Drosophila melanogaster: one gene and its partner. The protein of the gene in region 1 interacts with the protein of each later gene in a pairwise test. Each region holds a gene or a part of one and is shown on either strand. Other genes may lie near its edges.

The links.
Region 2: the proteins of CheB42b (region 1) and Tsp33B interact in a two-hybrid assay, tested with the Drosophila melanogaster proteins (one large-scale study listed by BioGRID).

Annotation. Positions count from the first base shown.
Region 1 is NT_033778.4:6,938,188-6,948,517, reverse strand, and holds CheB42b (chemosensory protein B 42b), read left to right. Parts: upstream 1-4,522; 5' UTR 4,523-4,531; coding exon 4,532-4,768; intron 4,769-4,834; coding exon 4,835-5,011; intron 5,012-5,171; coding exon 5,172-5,348; 3' UTR 5,349-5,422; downstream 5,423-10,330. Other genes in the region: CheB42c (chemosensory protein B 42c), read left to right, coding at 3,108-3,344, 3,401-3,577, 3,648-3,824; mim (missing-in-metastasis), read left to right, coding at 9,175-9,236, 10,060-10,133.
Region 2 is NT_033779.5:11,787,140-11,798,042, forward strand, and holds Tsp33B (tetraspanin 33B), read right to left. Parts: upstream 5,227-10,903; 5' UTR 5,165-5,226; coding exon 4,412-5,164; intron 4,237-4,411; coding exon 4,129-4,236; intron 4,074-4,128; coding exon 3,954-4,073; 3' UTR 3,886-3,953; downstream 1-3,885. Other genes in the region: CG14931 (uncharacterized protein), read left to right, coding at 1,403-1,451, 1,514-1,638, 1,695-2,192; CG14932 (uncharacterized protein), read left to right, coding at 2,865-2,866, 2,920-2,976, 3,037-3,075, 3,133-3,171, 3,231-3,287, 3,344-3,797; CG14937 (uncharacterized protein), read right to left, coding at 5,492-6,807, 6,887-6,908; crol (crooked legs), read right to left, coding at 9,986-10,602, 10,690-10,902.

The DNA of each region.
Region 1 (10,330 bases):
TCACACTAGCTGAGAAACGGGTATCTGATAGTCAGGGAACACGACTTTAGAATTCTATCTTGTTTTTCATTTCTAAACAAAATACTAGACGCATGTCTATAGTTCCTAACCCCATTTGATATATTTTCCCGAGTTTTGACAGACGGCAATTTTGTTTACCTGCCCGGCTAGCTCAGTCGGTAGAGCATGAGACTCTTAATCTCAGGGTCGTGGGTTCGAGCCCCACGTTGGGCGACCAATATTTTGTAGTAAATATACAAATTTTAATAGTTAATTGATTACCAGAGGAAACCCATTATGTCGAGACTCTCGACTATCACATATCCTTTACTTAACTAATTAGGCTTAAAGCCGATGTGCTCATGTACATATAATTATATAAATGATTTATTATGGTTTATGATTTTTTATAAATCAATTTATCTATAAATTACAATTTATTTATCTTGTCAAAACCTGCTGAATAGAATTATTTTTAAATAGGTAGATAAAAATGCATGTAAGGATAAGCTGGCTTGATCTTTATCTAAATGCAAATGGGCTTTAAACTTGACTAGATGGGCGAGGGACTAGTCAATACGCTTTCGTCTTGTTTTTAGCACCACAGGGTTTTTATACCACCATTATTCTTTAAGCTTATAGTATAAGTTTAAATTTAAAACTATTACGATTTCGATGATTTTGACAGTCAGATGTCAAGAACACATGCCCGGCTAGCTCAGTCGGTAGAGCATGAGACTCTTAATCTCAGGGTCGTGGGTTCGAGCCCCACGTTGGGCGATGTTTTTTATTTTAATTCAAAATTAATATACAATTAATAAACATTTTTTGAGCTCCACTTTCGGCAATTGATTTTTTACTAATTGGAAAATTATTAAGCATATTTAATTTGCCTAAAATGAGTCCCAATTAATTTGGAAGCTAAAAATAGTTTGTGTATATATGATACAAATGCATCTTGTGAATCTGCATAACCATTTCGAATAAAACAAAAGGCTAAAGGTATTACAACAATGTTTCTAGGTTTGACAGCAAAGCGCCCGTTGCCTTTAATCCGGCTTATATGCGCATGTATAAATATGCTTTCTCATATTTAGCAATGTGTTTATAGAAGTAATTTATAATTTTTATACCCGTATACCAAAGACACTAGAATAACTAGAATTTACTATAATAACACTAGAATTCTAGGGTCTTTGCTTATACTATATTCGTTAAAAAGTATGTACCAGGCAGAAGGAAGCGTTTGCGACCATTTTCTTATGTTTTTCTCATATTATTCCCCAATATCAATCGATAAGCCAGAAAAAATAAGGAAATTTCTAGTTGACATTGCCACTAGCTGAGTAACGGGTATCTGATAGTCGGGAAACTAGACTAAAACATTTTCTCTTGTTTTGTTATGAGTTGAATATTTACGATAAATATTCTATATTGTCAATGTAATTTATGTAAAGTAAATTTGGGCCTAAACTTATTTGTTGCAAGCTAATTGGCGACAATTCTTTGGCTACTTTTAAAAGGCTATTGATTCTCTCTTGGTAATATTTTGATCCTTTAAATTCTCTTTATATCAATTTGTATGATTCTTAAGCTTAATCAGCAAATGTGAGCTTTTATCGGCGATCTTCACAAGTGCCCGGCTAGCTCAGTCGGTAGAGCATGAGACTCTTAATCTCAGGGTCGTGGGTTCGAGCCCCACGTTGGGCGAATTTTCTTTTTTATATTTAGAAAATAGTTTTATTAAAAATGTTCACTAATTGCTTTCATTGAACTTTTCGATTCTGTGCGTTTGGCTTACGCCTGGGGTTGCGTGGGCTATAAGACGAAAGTCAATTTCTATGTTTTGTTTATTTATAGACGAGTTACTATATAGTGAAATACCATCGACAAGACCTAATAAGTTTTTATTTATGGCAGCACTCGCAGCTGTTTCCATTTCTATAACAATGCCCCGTGAGCTTCCCCCTGTCCCTCTAGCGTTGGCGCGTTTGAAAAGTCTGAAAGCCATTTCAAGGCTGAATCTCAACTGGAAGTGGCAGTTCACTGTGGCACCGAACAGGATGTGGACAGGATGCCATCATTCAGTTCATATGTGGAGCAAGGTCCTTAAGCTTTGAAAACAATTGTGTTAATGTGTACAATTGTTATGTCTAGCTGCTATGTTCGGAAAAAATGGATAAAATATACAAATCATTTTTTGTTTAGATCTTGACGCAGGTCACCATTGCAACCCGTTCCATATGCCTGCTTCCTCCCACATGGAGACAGTGAAATCTGAGATCAGACAAGAATGCGGAATGCATTTCCCCTTCAGACTCCACAAACAATTGGAGAGCATGAGAATCATCTTAGTTGTATTAATTACTTTGCATTATTCCATAAATAACTTTGCGGGAACAATTCTAGATGCTGTTCCCTCTGTTAATGTGGAACGACTGATGTGCATAGCTTACTTGGTGTTTTGAACTGTGCCGAGTGCTCTGCATGTATGATGTCAGCTTCAACAGCAATCCAAGGCTAGTTAATTAAAATGAATATGAAATTGCACTTGTGATTCACAAGCTGTGATTAAATTGCGGAAAGTGTCCATTTGACTTGTTGTAGGTGTGTAGTTGTCGCACCCAATTATGCAAAATAGTTACGGAATTTATGAAATCGTTTAATTTTCGATGAAAAAAGTAAAAATTTAATTTAATCAAGGAGCCTACAAAGATTTTAGCATTGAATTCAAGAAGAACAAAAGGTTATACTTTTACAAGTATAACAATCTAAATGCCTATTTGGCATACAAGTTGTTATGCTAATGGCTAAAACCTTTAGTATTTAGCTTATATATCTTAATAAATATAAGATTAACAGGAATGATTGTTTTGATCGTTTAATAAGGACTATTTTCATTGGCACTGATTTCCTCGAAACTTGTTATGGTTGAAGTGAGCTTCTTGCTTTAAATGTCGATTTAAAATAATGTCTGGCAAACAAAATGGTTGTAACTTTGTTGCATGTCGAGTGGATACATGATGACATGATAGCAATGATAGAAGAGATCATGATGGCAAGTACTATAAAAGGGTCTCATCCCACCAGGTGATACTATTGTCATCATGAGAACTCTCATGCTGTTCGTATTTGGCTTTGCTAGTTCCTGGGCCGCAGACTACGAGCTGTTGCTGGAGGACCCTGATATCTTTTCACCCTGCACTGAACCGCCGCCGGGATCGATTGGATTCCACGATGCCTTCGATATTGGCGATCTGGTAGTCGACCAGGACATGGACATCATTCACCTGTCCGAGAGTGTCACCTCAATCTGGGATGTGGAGCCCACAGATCGCATATCCGTAATGCCCGCATTCCTTATACGAAATAAGATTATTAATAAACAATTGCTTTTAAGGCCAGGTTTGCAATAATGCATTACAACCGCGGCAGCTGGGAACCGACTGTATTTAGCATGGCCACGCCGGACTTCTGCGCCTCAATGTTTGATGAGAATCAGTCGTGGTTTAAGTACTGGACCAAACACATTTCGAACCGCGATGAGGTGATGGAGAAGTGTTTTAAAACGCGTGGTGTGAGTTTTCCCTGCAAACAAAACAGTCCATCTCTGGCGCGGTGACTTTAACCTTGGGATTCCATTACAGACCGTTATAATGCACAATCCATTCGATCTGCAGCTGCGTCTAACGGACATTCGTGGTGCAACTCTCAGGGGTCGTTACAAAGCTGTGGTCACCTTTGAGGCGGTCGATGAGAAGGATGTGCCACGCCGTAATTCCATTTGCTTCGAAATCAGGGGAGAGGCCGAGAAGATAAATTAATTAAGGGCTTAATCTGTTCAAGGCGCGATATCAGTAACCTAAAAAACAATATAAACCCAATATCTACATATTTTGAAAATAAAAAGCAATCTTAAAAATATAAATATAAATAAAATATATCAACTATTCTGAACTTGATATATGTACTTGATTTGGTACAAAGTGTGTAACAGGTGACGCGAACCTTTTTTTTCGTTTGATCAACCTTATGCCCGTATGTGATCTCGGGAGCTATAAAAGCTATATTGATAAGATAAGGGATGCAGATTATAGAGAAGTACTTTCAGAAGATTGCCACGCCTACTCTACCACACCCTCTAACGACCAAAAACCGCCCAAAACTGTCACGCCCACACGGATATGTGATCGCCAAGAAAATCTTTGGGGAATTTGTTTTTTGTTTCAAACTTGTTTTTTTTTCTAGCCCAAAAGTTATTATTATTAAAACATCTTGTTTTACAATGTTTAAGCACGAATATTTTCAAGGGTCACATAACGTGATTTGCCAATTATATTGTTAGAGTTTGACAACGTCTGATTAACAGGAGATGGTTGTTACATTGTTGCGTGTTGAATCAATGTACGATGGCATACCATGATTAGATGTCATCATTTTAAAAGGTGTATAAATAAAACATATCAAAAACTCTATTGTGGCAGTGGCTATAAAGGGGTCGGATCTCACAGTTTTCGGTTCTATGGTCATCATGATATTTGTGCTGCTACTCTTATTAGGAGTGACCAGTTCCTGGGCCACAGACTATGAATTATTGCTCGAGGATCCGGACATATTTTCGACGTGCACTGATGGTCCTCCCGGATCCATCAACATCCGCCAGGCACTCAACTTAGACGACATTGTAATCGACCAGAAAGGGGATATACTTCATGTATCCGGGAACGCCACCGTCGTGTGGGATGTGCAGCCCACCGATCGGATTACTGTAACACAAACTGCAAGCTTCGGAATAATCATCGATTCTAATATCAAAACTCTTGCATCCGTGTAGGCGAGACTTGATGTTTTTCACTTCAACCGCGGCACTTGGGAGCCCACTGTCTTTAGCATGGCCACCCAGAACTTTTGCTCCATCATGTACGACAAGAACCAGTATTGGTATAAGTATTGGACAAGGTTTATAACCAATCGCCATGAGGTGGAAAAGAAGTGCTTCAGAGGGCCTGATGTAAGTGGAGTTCAAGCAATTTGACAACCAAATACGGTGGAATATAATAGCATATGGGAATAGTTCTCATATGGGATGCAGATTATTCATATGGTTGTGTGCAAAGGACACTACCATTTTTTATTGCACAATATTTTGAAAATATTCTGATTTCTTACAGACCGTTCTGGTACACGAGCCCTTCGATCTCATACTAAAATTTGAGAATTTTCGTGGACCTCTTCTTAGAGGACGTCATAAACTTGTCATATTGTTTAACGCACTAGATGAGAGGAATATACCGCGCCCAAACCCAATTTGTTTGGAGATCATAGGAGAACCACTAAAGTTGCAGTAGTTGGAACAATAGACTATTTTGTTGAATGTGTATTTTTTTTTTCAATATTGTATAATATTAAACATAGTGTTCTTAATTCCTACATTCAATAACAATTTAAACATTGCATCGTGTTTTAACAGATCTCATAACTTTAGGGGCTTGTTTTACCTTCCATATCCCCAATCAGTTAACTTCTTGATTCGTTTTGTTTTGTGGTTGGTGGCACGCGTTGACGGCAACTTGAGTTCAAGTTGCGGTTTCCATATCGGCTAGCTGCGTGTGGCAAGTACCTTCTCGGGTAACGACGTGCAGACAAAGGAGAACCGTATACTGACTGCATTTTTTTGGGGTCATGACTGCCGTTGCTGGATGGGGAATATGCAAATACAATTGTCGGTTATTGGATTACCCGATGATGATTGGCATAAGTTCCGATCGATTCAAATCGCAGCAATCGATTTGTCAATTTGCAAAGCTCTTGCCAATTCACGGAAAATGTTTCTTACAGATTTGCGAAAACTTTTAAACGGCAGGGAGGTAAGCCTCGGAACACTTTCATTTCATATTCCCGGCGAATAATTTTCTACTTTCTAAACCGAAGAGCCAGAAACAAAGACCGTCTTTAGGTGCAAATTAGCAGCGCACGATTGTGCAGGCCGCTCCGGGCAATCCGGTAAAGTCAACATCTGGCCAAAGCCGAAATTATGGCCGCGGGCACTCACTATACTATATAGTATATGGTACGTCGGACCTCATAGAAAATCAATCAGTGCGGACTTCTGCTTCGCAGGCAGGCTCTTGGATTTAGCATAAGAAACGGCTCTTTCTGGAGGCAGTGGCTTTGTTCGCCAACCCAAAAAGCTGGCAATGTAGGACGTGGCGACGGCATGGCTCTGAACCCGTTTTTTTTGGCCATCTCCGCCTCTATCCACCTAGCCGCTGCTGGGAATCTTTGGGGCCTTATCGAGGAGCAGCACCGAAATAGCAACAAAATTGCAGCATGAATGGGGCTGTGAACCAGCTGGAGAGCCGGTCCGTGTGGGCAGCCTTTGTAGGCTATTGGAAAGATCAAGAGTTTATAATGCCAGCCACACGTTTGTTGTTAGCTGTGTGTTGTGTGCATGGGTGTGGGTCTCCTCGTGGTGGTTGTGTGAACTTTTCCAGTTTGCTCTGACTGGCATAAATTGTGGGTTTTTAGGTGTCTAGCTCACTTCCCGGCCGAGTTGGCTTGCCAAGATAAATGGATACACATGGAGCGGTTGTGGTGTACTATATGTGCATGGATGCACCACGTCCATTGCACTCGCTGTCTTCCCCTGCGCTTAGACTCGATTTCGATGTCTGACGGAAACTGGAAAGTGTTTTGAATACAACCACGAACTGGCGGGAACGAGATCTTTCAGCTCGATGACTGGTTACTAAACAGTAAACAGTAAATACTCTAGAAATATGAGGACAATGAATAAAAAGTAAATGCATTCAAACCACCGCTAAGACAAACATTTAACAATTTCAGTAGCTAACTAAATGGATCTTGAAATTAAGTTGAAAAGGGGTTTTGTTAGCTGCGGCACTTTTACTATGCGTCTGGCTGCTAGGCAATCCAGCTCCACTCGCCCATTCATAAGGCGATGCCCGAACACTGGGATCAGGACCAGCTGAGCTCTCTCCCAACGCTAGCACGAAACACAACATCCACGCCAACGCGGACGCGAATGGTTTGGGCCTGGTCAACGTAATGACAGCTTCGCGTGTTTTGGCCCGCGAGTGGATGGCTGGCTTATTGGTGGTGGCTATATCGCTCCACGACTACAAAATGCTCATTCACAAAACGCCGACAAGACGCTGCCCACGCATGCGAGGCAAGAACCGCTTATCAAGCTGTCGCTGGCGGTCGGCTGTCGCACACAAAAAATGGTTTTGCAACAAATAAACAATAATAATTTGCATGTGGGCCGCGTCTTGGAAACGTGGTTCAATCATTGAAAAAATCAGCTTATAGGCTTTGAAAAATTTTGGTCGCTTTTGGTCTTTTTGGAATTTATTCTGTCGCGATTTTTCTTGGATATTTATTGATTTTCCTCGATTTCTCTATCATCCCACACATCACATTCTTTGAATTTATTTAAATCTATACGATGGTGATATCACGAGAAAAGTACTTAAAGTGTTATTATCAATAGTATTTGTATTTTTGCCTTAACTTGAAACGAACGAATTCCCAATACAATAGTTTCGAACATACTTTTTCAAACCCAATTTATTATTTATTTCATGTCGCATGTGGTGTTTTGTGAAAGGGGGAAAGAAGTCGTTATCATCGCTTGAATACCGCGTTCAATTCGTTTTTGTGGAGCTGGCAATTGTTTAGGGTTTTTGTTGCACCCAGTGGTTGCATGGCAAAACGAGTATATGAACAAAAAAAAAAAATAAATAAATAAAAGCTGGCAAAAATAGCCAAAAATCGATTTCCGTTAAGTTTTTGCTTGAGCTGTTGCATTTATTTGCGCATTTCCCGGCTTTTCCGCTGCCATTGTCTCGTTCGTTCGTTTACCTTTGAGCAGTGCTGTTTATGCAATTGCCATGGCCCAGAGCTCAGGCTTCTTTTGGGCATTTTGCATTGAAATCGATTTTGATTTAGCAATTGACATTTTAATGGTATTTATTACTGCCCGATTGCGCAAAAACCGAAAGTTAAATGCAACTGCAATTGGCAGTTGCTATTTGGGCTTGATGAATCTGCTCCTGTTATCACAGTGGTCACCAAATGGGAACATTTTATGTCTTCATTCAGACGCCTCCTGCTGCTTTCGATCTTTGGCTGCTTCGCTCGTCTGGCTCTTATTTTCAATGTCATATGTTGTGTAATTGAAGCGAGCCAAAACAAAACAAAACGAAAACTCGTTTTCGCTTTTATTGACCATTTGCGCGTCCTCACTCGCTATTATTTCTCTTAAAGAAAGAAGCACACATAAAGTCTTTGGCGGCCTTTTACGGCTGCCTCTTAACAATCTGCTGCCGTTCGGCCATCGTGACACTGATACTTGGCCAGAAGCCAGCGGCAGCTCTTTGTGGTCTTGACCAAATAAGTAAGTTGGCTGAACAGGATTGTGTGAGAAAAACCCATGTGGGAGCCATTTCAGTTCGCTTTTTGGCCAAATATGAGCTTCCAGTGATTATTGAGGGGAGAACTTGTGGATTATTGACGAAACTTCCCCATGTTCATAAAAGTCCAATCAATCCATCTTGTATTATAATGATGATGACGACTTTCTTTTGGACTTGTACTCTCGCTCTTTTACTAGAAGTCTTATTAATATGCAAATTTGATTAATCCAGATTACCTCAGCAACTTAATTAAAAGCATCTCCCCTAGGGGATTGCTCGATTCCGTATTCAATCGGAGCCATATGGATCGGAGCTCACCCACTTTGATTACATTAAATGTGTCTCTCACTTTGCTTATTCGTTGATGTCATGTTTGGGTTGTTTGCTCGTTGAGTTTGCACCATAATTTTCTGCTTTATTCGCATTTAATGAAATGCGCAGACAACAAAAGTCAAACTCAATTAGATTTAATCCAGCGAAAAAACGATGACGATATGAACTTTGAACTTTTGGGCAATCACGCCTTTAAATGTATTTTATATATTTTATCTTAAATGGAAAATTTTTCACTTTTGTCATCTACATCTATAGTAAGTTGCATTTTTTTAGTTTCGTTTAAATTTTGATTAATTAATTATGGCTGTAAAACCTACGACTCGTTCCCAAGTCCCAATATAATGGAACAAAAATATTTTATACAATTGTTAAACTAATTTACTCTCTTTTTTTGTTGCAGAACACTTCGCCCCTGTGGGAGGATTTTGTGGCTAAGGCCGGAAAACTGCACACTTGTTTGAGGTGAGTTTACTTTGGGTGTGAATTGGTTGCTCCATTCTGGAAAATGATATTTCAACAGCAGCCCACTAACGAGCGCAGTTGCAAAACTTTAGAACGAGAACTGCGTGTAAATAAACAAATTTGTTTGCCTAAATGCTTGCCCTTATGCTTTCCACTTCCTCACACTCAGTCGTAAAACATATAATGTGTCTATGATTATTTTTGTGCTCTTTCTGCTGTTGCTAAATTTCTGCTCGTGGGGTGGCATTTGTTTGTTTTATTTTCTCTGTGCTTTTTATGCTCAGACTTGGCCCAAATTTTCTCGCGGCAATGTCTGGGCATAAGTATATAGCCGCCGCCAAATAGCGGCTGCATTAATCACTACCCCAAATCCTGTTGTCCGAGTTCAAATCACGGGGCTTGCCAAAACTCGCTCCGAGTGCTTGCCCACTGCGCTTGACACACATCTTGACCGATTCCCCGCTAGGTGAGGACGCCCGGATCAAGACGCCCAGATGGGCACCACTTTTGTATACCCTAGATGTGGGTATATTACGCCAAAAGCGGAGCAGGTGCAATTAGTTCAATCAGCGCTTGTTAAACTAGCTTATCACTTACTATGGTTCCAATCGTATGAGAACCTACTACTTCTTAGCATATTTCATCGGAAAGGGTATTCAAATATTTAGTTACTGCAGAGACTGTGGATATTCCATGTGTTTTTTTTTTAGCTTTCGCCTAATTGAAATGTCGCCCACGGGCAATTGGAGAGAATGTTTATTAAATCTATCTGGCTGGGTCCCACAATAATAATGATGTTGTATTTGCTCTCATCTCTTCACAGGGCCGCCATCCAGGCAATCGCCGCCTATTTGGATGCCTTCCAAAAGATAGCCGATGCGGCGACCAACTCAAGAGGTAAGTTCAAACCGCGGACTCGTCTGGTCTGCTCGCCTATCAGCCGCTACTGAAAGTACAGGGGATTCCCCTCCATTCCCCCGCCCAGGTACTGCATCATAGCTTTCCGCTGCTCATTATTCATGGGTCTACGCGCAGTCGGCGGCGGTCATCGATCTGATTTTTATACACATTCATGCTTTCGGTGTTTACGTTGT
Region 2 (10,903 bases), on another chromosome or scaffold:
CAGGTTTTTCTTCTATTCTCAATTTTTTTTTTTTTCATTCTTTTTTTTATTTATTTGCCTTTGACGTGCCACTAAAACTGAGGTTTGGGTGGGTCGACGGCGAGGGGAAAGTAAAGCCAAATGCAGTTGGGACTCAATGGCGACTCCTATGCAAAAGAAGCAATGCTCGCCAACGCGACGACATCGAAACTTTTCCTATTTTTTGTGCTTTTATTTTTGGTGTCGCTGGTTTTAACCAGCAAAATAATTTGGTTATATAGAAAATAGTATCAGGAAAAAAGTTATGCCCAAAATATAACAAGAAAATAATGTAAATACCTTGAAAAATATGAAAAACCAAAATAAATTGTATAAAATATGTAAATATATGGAATATAATAAATTATATATTTTTGTTTTTTAAAAAACTTAACAAGGTACACATGTAACGTAAATTCTTTTTTTAACCTATCTAAATTAAGGCACGAAAAATTTACGAATGCTATTAAATAGGTTTTCATAAGCCTGCATATTTCTGAAGCACCCCAGTCCGTGTATGATCTCAAAATATTCAGGGTATTATGACTTTCCATGGGGACAAAGTCGAGCTGAAAACTGCCCCACAGAAAGAACAATTTTCGGGTCGAAAAGGCGCTCCATGGCAGCGAAAATGGCAAACTGACTTCAAGTGGCATTTTGACATTTTGTTGAATTTCAACTCGCTTTTCGTTTTGGGATGCAACGATGGGGTCCGAGGTATGTATGTAAAAAGTGAAAGGGGCGTGTTCAGGGGGCCAGAAAACTCGCAGGTGGCTGGGCATGCAAACGAAATGCAAAGAGACGCATATTTTTTTACTTAAATTAGAAAAACAATTGCCAGCGTTGTGGGTAGTGAAAGCTGCAACTTTGGTCAGCAGGTTGACCACACAAAAAGTTCGCAAAGTATTTACTTTTTTCACGATGCATTTCAACTTCGCAGAGCTGGTGTTAAAACTTCGCCATTTTGGAGCCCAGCTTTTTACCCATAAATTGTTTTTTAAGTGTAATACCAAACGAAGTTTAAAGGCTTTTTGTTGAGGTAATTAAAAGACTGGACTTAAATTACGAGGAAAACATATACAATTTTATCAAGTTACATTATAGAACTTAATCACTTATATCACTTTATAATAACCACAACATTTTCAGAGCCTTATCGTTTTTTTTTTTTTTTAAATAGTTTTTAATATTTTCACATACAACTCGAAAACTTGTTGCACCATCTCTAAGTGTGACCATTACTTGAGATCACATCTTAACTATCGATATGGCGTTATAGACGATTTCAGTTTGGCGAAAAGTTCCGTTAGCAGCAAGAACAAGAGCAAATGCATTGTAACCACATAATATTAGTACTAAAGTTGTTGTTTTTGTCCCATTGAAAATGGAGTTACGCAGCCGAACAAACAGGAGATTAGTTGACTTCCTCAAAAGTAAGATATTCTAAATTAGACGTCCTTAACATACATACATATATAACTAACTATTTGCTCAGGCGCAGGCGTTTACGAGGAAGGCATGGATATTGAGGAAATGACCGAATTAGCAAGTGTCGTGCAGCAATCAGCTAGTATCAGTCCCCAGGATGAGGATCTAGAAAGGGCTCTGCACGTGGGAAAAGTATTCAGTTAACAATAAACAATAAATAGTAATTAGCTTCTCATTAATGTCGACAGGAGAGCGAGTCTGATTTTTTGACTTCGCATCCCAGTGCTTTGCACAACTCCACGATGATCATGTCGCCGCAAGTGTCCAGAAGAAATCCCTCAGACATGGACAGTCCACCGAGCGAGCCGATCCGTATAACTTTTCGGGCTTTGGTGCACCGTGCCATGGACTGGAGTCCCACCACGGGCAATCAAATTCCCGATCGCAAGCGCATTGCTGCGGATCGCAATCAAAACGTCGAACTAGTTGGCAAACGTTCCAGAGCAACGCCGGCTATCAGCATTGGCCAGGCACCGGAGGATGAGCCGCACAATGCCGACGCCACACCCGTTTCCCCGGGCAACGAATGCGACTCCGGCGTCAGCTGGGAGGAGATATCTTTGTCCAGCGCCAGCGATAGCACCACTCTTCCTTCCATCGGCGAAATGCCCGATCGACATTTAATCAGCACCAGCAGCGTCGCCGTCTCGGATTTCTCAGATGCCAATGAAATCAGCCAGGAATAGGCTATTTCCGCCCATGTCTTGTGGTTTATGTTTCCCAATCGAATGCAGTAGAGATTTTACAATGTTTATAGCCCACATATGTCTAAGAAAGAGTACTCGAATAAGTTAACTATATGTCACATTAAAGGATTGAATTTATTGCATAATTGTGGCTTGTGTTTTTGGTCGAGCTGTATTTATTCCAATTCCAGTTTCCTTAACTATTTAGTCATAAGCATGTCAAGTTCAATAAAAACGAACACCCAATATATAAAAACATTTCCAAAGGTGGAATTAAATTGTGATGGCTTGACTTTACATAAATATGTATAATTACATTTGTATTTGGAAGTTTGTAAATTAAGCCTGTTGTACAACACTGGTACGTCTTTTTATAGGAATTTAAACTTTTTATGTTTAACTGCCATTTTAAGGCTAAACTTAACCAAAATTTTAAGGCTCAAATTTACCAAAACCTTTAGTATAAATTTCTATTTTTACTAAATGTTAAGAACACGTGACTTGAGCTTTAACTGAATTTTATATATTAATTACATATGCTCCAGTAAGTTTTCAACAGTATTTTGATCAACACTGATGTTCTTATTAAACATTCCTTGGAGTGGACACACTGGCCGCACGGCTTTTCACATTGTCATTTTCCAGGAGCTAGGCGTTGAAAATTTGTTAAAAATGTAATTAAAATTAAAGCAGTTCATTAAATATATTGATGGATTATTCATTGCAGGTCCCAATCAAAGGTTCCTCATATTGTGGGCGATGATGATGAATATCAAGAAGCTACGTAAGACTTCATTAATTTAGCTTCAGAAAAACACTGACAATATATGTATTTCCTTTCTAGTGCTCCCGAAAGTGACGAGATTACCTGCGAGTCTTCTGTGTAAGTCTTTTTAATATAATGTTTTGATAGATTATTTTTAAGTTGCCTTATAATCAGGGAAAGTGATCAAGATGATGACTGTTCCAACGAAGATGAGTGAGTAAATTTAATGTTATAAAACAAAATCATTTTTCTTCATTTTGTGAACCTTTTAGTATGGATTTGGATGGGGCAGACTGGTCCCCATATGTCACTTATGAGGCGGGTACACCGTAAGTTATAGTTTCGTAATGTAGAACGTGGAATAACGGGTTCGGATTCTCTACAGAAGACGTCCCCACAGTGCTTTGGAGATTACCGAAATTACCGAGTTTCCGAAAATTCCAAAGAAAAACCCCACCTCACCCGAACTGGTGATACAGAAGCCAGAGACTCCGGATCAAAACGACTCGGGATCTCAGGAGCGTCTCACCTTCTCTCGCGCCAATAATGCGCTATCAGAGTCCATTGGAGCTCGCGTTTCCCAACGTAGCAGGGGCAACTTGGAACCATTCATCCGTAGAATGGCACGTAGCCCTACGCCCGAGGCCTCAGAGGAAAACGGCTCGGTATCACAAGGTCAGCTGCTGGCCAAGCCCGTGGATGTCACCGAGTTCTTTCACCGCATTGCTGTGGGTCTCGTCGAGCAGCGCGTCTGCTTGAAGCCTTTCTTGGCATTGCGCAAACATATTGCTCAACTGGTGGGTCAGACTTTGAAGAAATCCAAGAGGATGCGCCGTTAATCCATTTAACATCCAATGTTACAACATCCATGTAATAAGTATCCTATAATATCCAATAAATAATATATTGCGTTCACCGATTGGATATGAAGTTAACTCAAATTCGTAAATTTAATTAAATTAATATAAAATATAAAAGTAAAATTAAGCACAATATTAGTATCCACACGGTTCGTCGTCCATTTCGGTGCAATTGCAGTAGTTAATATCGGGAACGTTGTCGGATACCAGATCATCCTCGGCAATTGTTACACAGCGCACGTTACACGGATATTTCTGGGGAATGGACTGATTTAGGTGCTATCGATGGATAGTAAATGGATAAACCCACCACCACGACCAAGGGATGTCCATCATCGTCCGTGAGTCCCACATTATCGCAGCCATCGCCCTCGTTCTGCCGGTGAACTATGAACTTGGTCATACAACAAAGCACGATCTAAAAAGATGATTGACTTAGGGAGGTCTTATCTTAAAATACAATTTTGTTGCATATTCAAATTTTTTGATTTCAATATGACTTACGCTAATGAATTTGACAGAATTTAATGAATATGGCTCCAATATTCACCATTGTTCTGACTTTAAAACGTTGCCCATTACCAATTACTTACCAGAAACTTAAGGGCCAGGACCCATAACGCCATCAGGATGTAAAAGCAGTTCCACACCGCACTAACGAACGCAGGCAAGCATCCGTTCGCATTGATTGAGTCCACGGTGAGAGCGGGAAAAGGCTGCCGGCTATTGCCACCGATGGACTGCCCCTCACTGGGCAGGAAATTGTTAAAGCAGCTGTCGCAGGAGCGCTTGCAGCAGGCGAAGGGTGCCAGGACCATCGACGTGCAGTTATTCTCCCGCCGTGGCATCCACTCCGCGTTCATCCAGTCCTTGTAGCCATGCACCCCGCAGCACTCCTTGTGCCACTGCAGTCCGTCCCACAGGAGTTTCCACTCGGGACACGAGTAGTACATGTCGATGCCGCGGGTCAGCGAGGTGTCCGCCGCATTCTCGAGGACATCGACACCCCGGTAAAGATTCCAAACGCACCCGAAACCGGAGGCAATGATTACGCAGGAGTAGAAGGCCCACACGGATAGCAAGAGGCGAATGTTCGGCGTGCAGCGACGCCGCCAAATTCGCCGCCACATGGCAATGCTGCAGAGAAAGGTCACCACCACCTGGGCGCCAAACACGTAGATCCCAAACAGATAGCCGTAGACCAGGCGGCACTCAATATCCGATAGATAGCCGGTGAGCACGGTGTGGTAGTAGGCGGTCACCACCAGGATCAGCAGTCCGATCACGGCCTCGGTTATTAACAGCAGGTGGAGGTAGACGGAGGCTCGGCGGAAGGGCTGGCGCATTTGGTCATCCTCGTGGGCATCGATCCAAAGTTTGGCTTGTCGACGAGGTTTTAGCTCTGAACTCGAATTTCATTTGGATTGACGCTGATTGCAAGGACTTGGGTGTTTGAATTTTAAAGTGTACTACAACTTGAATTTAATTTTTTTTATCCCTAAGGGCAGTAAAAACAATGATGCATTGAAAAATCGCTTTACAAATATGTATATTTACATCTTTTTATTTGGTAAGCAGTTGATAAATGTATACACTTAACTATATTTCAGTTTAAAACCTTTTCATTTTGGAGCTTGATCAGTTGGAGCATATCCCACTCATGGGGCAGCGGTTTACCGCACAAAGCTAAACTTGAGTACGCCAGATGTGTAGTCCGTATTGGGTCCAATCTGTTTTGCATCCACCTTTATCAGCCTTATGTTATCAACGCAGCGCGAACTTTGAACTATTTCCGGATTGATATCGCTATGCCGGATCCACAGCTCTAGAGGGCGAATGCGCCAGCTTTGCTTGGCCAAAATGGCAATACACCTCCAGACGAAGGATTCTCCATGGCAGAAGGTTCGAGTGATGTCGAGGACTCTCAGCTGTCGACAATTGATCACGAATTCCAGCAGGCCCAAAGGACTCTCCAACTGATAGCCACACAAATGGAGTTCGGTTAGCTCACCCAGTTGACTGGCTAGCTGCCGCAGTATCTGATCCCCCAGGCACTGCACCTGGACGCCCTCCTCCTTCTCCTCCTCTTCCTCTGGCTGGCTGTGCAGCTCCAGTCGCGTCAAGTGACTAAGATTTCCCAGCTCCCTGAAGAACCGGCCATAGTCGTGCAAAACTCCACTGAAACTAAAGGCCTCAATTTGTCGGCCATCGCCGGGAGGACTTGTGGGACTAACTATCCTCGATAGGACATCAAAGACAAAGTTCCTGGAATAGATCGACAGCTTTCGCAGGTTTGGCAATGTCAGTAGTTGCTGCGTAATATCCGACTCCATACACACGTGGTAATCCGCAATCTTGATATGCTCCAGTGTGGGACACAGCTGCAGATCCGCCAGATCACAGCAGTTCACCTCGTCACAGTCCTCCATTATGTCAAATTTGCGTAGTCGCAGCTGCCGGAAGATGTCCCTAAAGTGTTGCGATTCCAGAAAATGGCAATCATGCAGGCGGAGATCGGTAAGCTCATCCAGGTCGCATAGGTATTTTCCGGTAATTTGGCAGCCTCTAAGTTTGAGGCTTTTTAGATTGGGAAATACCCTCTGCAGCATTCGCACATCCTCATCCACGAAGCGAACGCGTCTCCGTCTATACACATTGCCCAGCCACTCGAAAGAGTGAATCCTCTCCAGCGTGTGGTTACTGAGCAGTCGCAGTCTTCGGACATCCAACTGCTTGCAACTCAGGTGCTGCATGTGCGGAGCCAGGGCCAAGATGAAAGCCACAAACTGTCGGGAATTGGCTCCCGAGCGTCCGAACATCTCGTCCTGCAGGACAACGTTGCGAACACGGGTCTCCCAGAGCATGTGCACTACGCCCGCCAAGCGCCTGTTCAACCTGCTAATCTGGAACTGCTGGTACGTGTCCAGCTGGCGGATGATCAAAGCCAGGACATCGTCATTCAGCTGGAGCAGCGTTACTGCAGTGGGTTCTAAAAAGTTGAAGGACGATCGTCTTAATAGGCTCAGTTGTATTGTTTTTTTTTTTTTCGTTTTTAGCCAATTCCTTACCTGTATCGCTTGCGGACGTCATCTGCGGTCTGTTCTCGATCGTGGTACTTGGAATACTAATGAATTCACGCAGTTGCCACGGTCAGTAGTCCGATGCTACCTAGTGCGAAGGTCATTTAGGGGTGGGTTTCCAGGCAGATCGGGCGGAATTCGCGCTACCTAAACGACTTATCCTTTTGGAGATGGGAAAACGAAGCGATAGTTTTCGGGGTATCCCAGAGATACGAAATCATAATAATATCCTTAACCAAAAAATATAATTCTACTCAGGGTTACTCAGTTTCTTGTAAAATCCGGTTTTATGCTTATGCTGCGCGTTTTTGCTGCTCATTTATTTGTTTTGTTTAGTGCTTACTACTTCATAAATTTTAATTACATTTTACTCGTAACTTGTACAATATATACTATATATATATATATTTCATTTGTTGTCCAATTTCTGTCGTATAGGCATATATATTTTAGGTATATATAGTGTTGTATTGTATCTGATTTATAGTACATTATTGTTTCTATTTAGTATTGTTACTGTTTGTTGCTTTTAATGTTTACGTTAATTGGGGCATTCCAAGCGTTTTCTTCAGCTTCTGTTAATTTTTCTCCTAGGAAACATTTTTGCCGCTGTCCCAGCGTTTAATCATTAAGGTTAATGGGTATGTGTCTGTCGATCAGTGAGTGTGGGTTGTGGAGAAAGTTACCTCTATTCTCACGGCTTGCACTACGCAACTTACAAGTAAATTATTTCGTTTGTTCATTAATATTGCAACACAAGTGAATTGTCTCCATAAACTTGCCTTTCACGTACTACACATACATATCCGTTATATATTAGTCAATAATCGTACAATAATATATATCTCTATATGCATTCTATATACTGCGCTCTATACACATCACCAAAAATCCAAAAACACCCAAAAACTAACACGGATACTCAACTACATAATTATAGACGTGTGATAGTGTGTGTTTGCGACTTCGAAAACAATTATTTTCAGTGTGAAAGCAAAATACATGCATATCAATGATAATTTCATTTTCAATTTTCAATTGTTCCCTGCATTCTAAGTGTATTCAAAATGTGCACTTTGCTGCGATGATCGTGAATCAATAAAATTAGGTTAAATAAAACCAAGTTCTGTCTTTAAATGGTTAAACAAACAGTTTTACATTTTCCGTTTATTCGTGTACAGTTACAGTTTGTTAAATTAAATTAAAATTGTATTTTAAGCATTTAATTCTCGATAATTAAATGTATAAAATGTTGCATTTAAAAGGAAGCATAATGTGTGGGTCGTGTGTCTGTCAGTTTGTCTGTGTATTGTTTTCTTACTAAATTATTAAACTTTGACTCGTGTTTAATATACTTTTTTTTAGATTTCTCTTCCTTTTTTGTAAAATTTAAAGCAGATATGTTGTTGCTTGTGGCGCTTGGGGATTTCTCGTTAATTGTTTCACTTTCTTTTATTTCGTTACGGCTTAAACTTGTTCTTAATGTTTGTTGTTTTCAACACAAGCACAGTTAAGGGTTATAATTAATTTTAGAGTTGTGCCTAGTCGTATATATGTATATGTATGGGTTGTTGTTGTTGTTGCTTGTTAACTTTAATAGTGGGGTAATAACTTGTTGTTATAGGTTTAGTATTCCATATATCATAATCGTAATTGTAATTGTAATCATAATGATTGGGCGACGCGCCCAACTAAAAACTACTCGCACTCCCACGCGGGAACTCCTATCTCCATTCCTTCGATCCGTGCTTTCAATCATTACTTTTAGTAGTTCAACTAACATTAAATATAATAACTTGTTTGTTTAATCCCTTTTCATTATCTCGTTAGTTGGGTCTGCCGTTATGCTGCTTCTGTTTCCACTGTCATATAATTGTATATATATCTCATAATCATCACAGCCCCACTTTCAGGGCTCGATATATTGTAAACTGGGTTAAGGACTACACTTGGCCAATATATGTGAAAGTTTTCGCGCGTTAGCTCGTTATTAATGTTCCTCCTTGGAAAATGCAAAAATAATACAGTTGTGATAATAATTTTCGATAGATTTCCAAGGGTCTTGTTGCGTGTTATTTACAAACTATAAGTATATATTATAATTGTATGCCTATGCATATCTGCATATGTTTATGTATGATGAGGATGCTTTCTATGAATGTCGCTCCATATGGATATAATCATAACTTAGTCAAAACACAATAAAAATACAAGATGGTGCGCTTCTGCTGGTTACGGCAACAAAAACCCCTTAACTTTAAGTGTCTAGCGAGAAAATTGCCTGAGACGGATTGGTCTTCGGATCCATTTGATTCACTGAGCGCAGCTAAGGAACAATCGGATATCACAAAAACCATATCGATCGACCCAAACAAAGTCACGCGCCGCCTGGCACACATTTCAAAAATGTAGAAAACACGTGAATAAAATTAGACGCTAAGCGCCTAAGCATTAAAGATACACATAAAAGGGAGAGATACCAAGAACAAACTATGAGATGATTCGTATTGCACGTTAAAGCTGGCGGCGGCAGACTAATTGAGGAGTGTTTAATTTGCTTGCGATTGGGACACATATCTCGTTGAGTTTCCAGGGTGATTTGATTATTTTAAATTACTTGATTTAAAATATTTCACGAATTAAAATCTTAATAATTGATAACAAAATATTTAATTACCATCAATTAAATTTTGGGGCTTTAGAAGACTGGACATTTTAAAGGCAATACTGTGCCATTTCGTCCTAAAAGTAATATTTACCACACACGCTTGCTTTAAAAATCGACACACCCTAGAAACCCAGCGTATCACGATATCCGCTTGGGGCCACCGATCAGCGTAACCAGCGCGCTGCTAAAACTATTGTACATACAACTAGCTGCTTATATGGGGTGCGCTTGTTATGATGTGTGTCCTATCTAGAGAAGTCGCGTCAGCTCGGCTCACTAGCACTGGCTCACTGGTGGCACGCATGCCTTCACCACGCCGCTTGCGACGACGCAGTGGCCGCTGTGGCAGCTATTGAGGTGCTGGTCGTGCTGCTGGAGTGGGCTGTGGTGGGAGTGTAGCCGTGCAGGAGGGGCTACTGTTAGTAAACAACCGGGTGCTGTTCCACGTTCGCTGGCAGATGCTGCAGCTGGATGGCGGCACGTGCCAGAGCACTTGGGTCACTGATCAAGGCGATGGGCGGCGGCTGCTGTTGCTGCTGCGGTGGCGGGGCCTGTGGATGACCCTGCTGTTGCTGCTGGTGATGCTGTTGCTGTTGTTGCTGCTGGTGTTGCTGTTGCTGCTGTTGACGATGCTGCTCCTGCTGATGATGGTGAGCCGCCTGTTGGATGGACAACTGAAGCAGTTGTTGCTGCTGCTGCAACTGCTGTTGCTGCTGCTGGTGTGCAGCCACTGCAGCCTGCTGTTGATGTTGCGCGGCCACTTGTTGTTGATGCTGCTGATGTGCAGCAGCCGCCTGTTGCTGAGCTGCTTGCTGTTGGGCAGCAGCGGCGGCTGCGGCCTGTTGCTGTGCAGCTGCTGCGGCGGCTGCTTGCTGCTTCTGCGACTGCTGTTGAGCAGCCGCATTATGTGAGATGAGCGTAGAGGTAACCAGGGGCACCAGACCCGGTGTTAACTGGACCGCACCGGCTCCGCCCGCCGCACCCGCCGTGATCTGCTGAATGGTGTGCATTGTGGTGGTCGCCGAGTGATGGGGAACTGAAACGGTAGGAGGACCGGTTAAGTTGGGCGACTTGGGCACGGGAAGACTCGCTTGCGCTAGCGCAGTCGTGTTTGCCGACTCACTTATGATCGGTTTCACTTCCTGCTTGACTTGCGTCAGCACACCAGCCGGTATTTGCGGATGCGGATGCACGGGTGGTGGCGGCATCATAGCATCCGGGTGATTCATCTTCATGTGGCGCTTCAAATTGCCGCGCTCGACGAACGCCTTGCTGCACAGTGTGCACGCGTGTGGTTTCTCACCCGAATGGGAGCGCATGTGCGAGACCAAGTGACC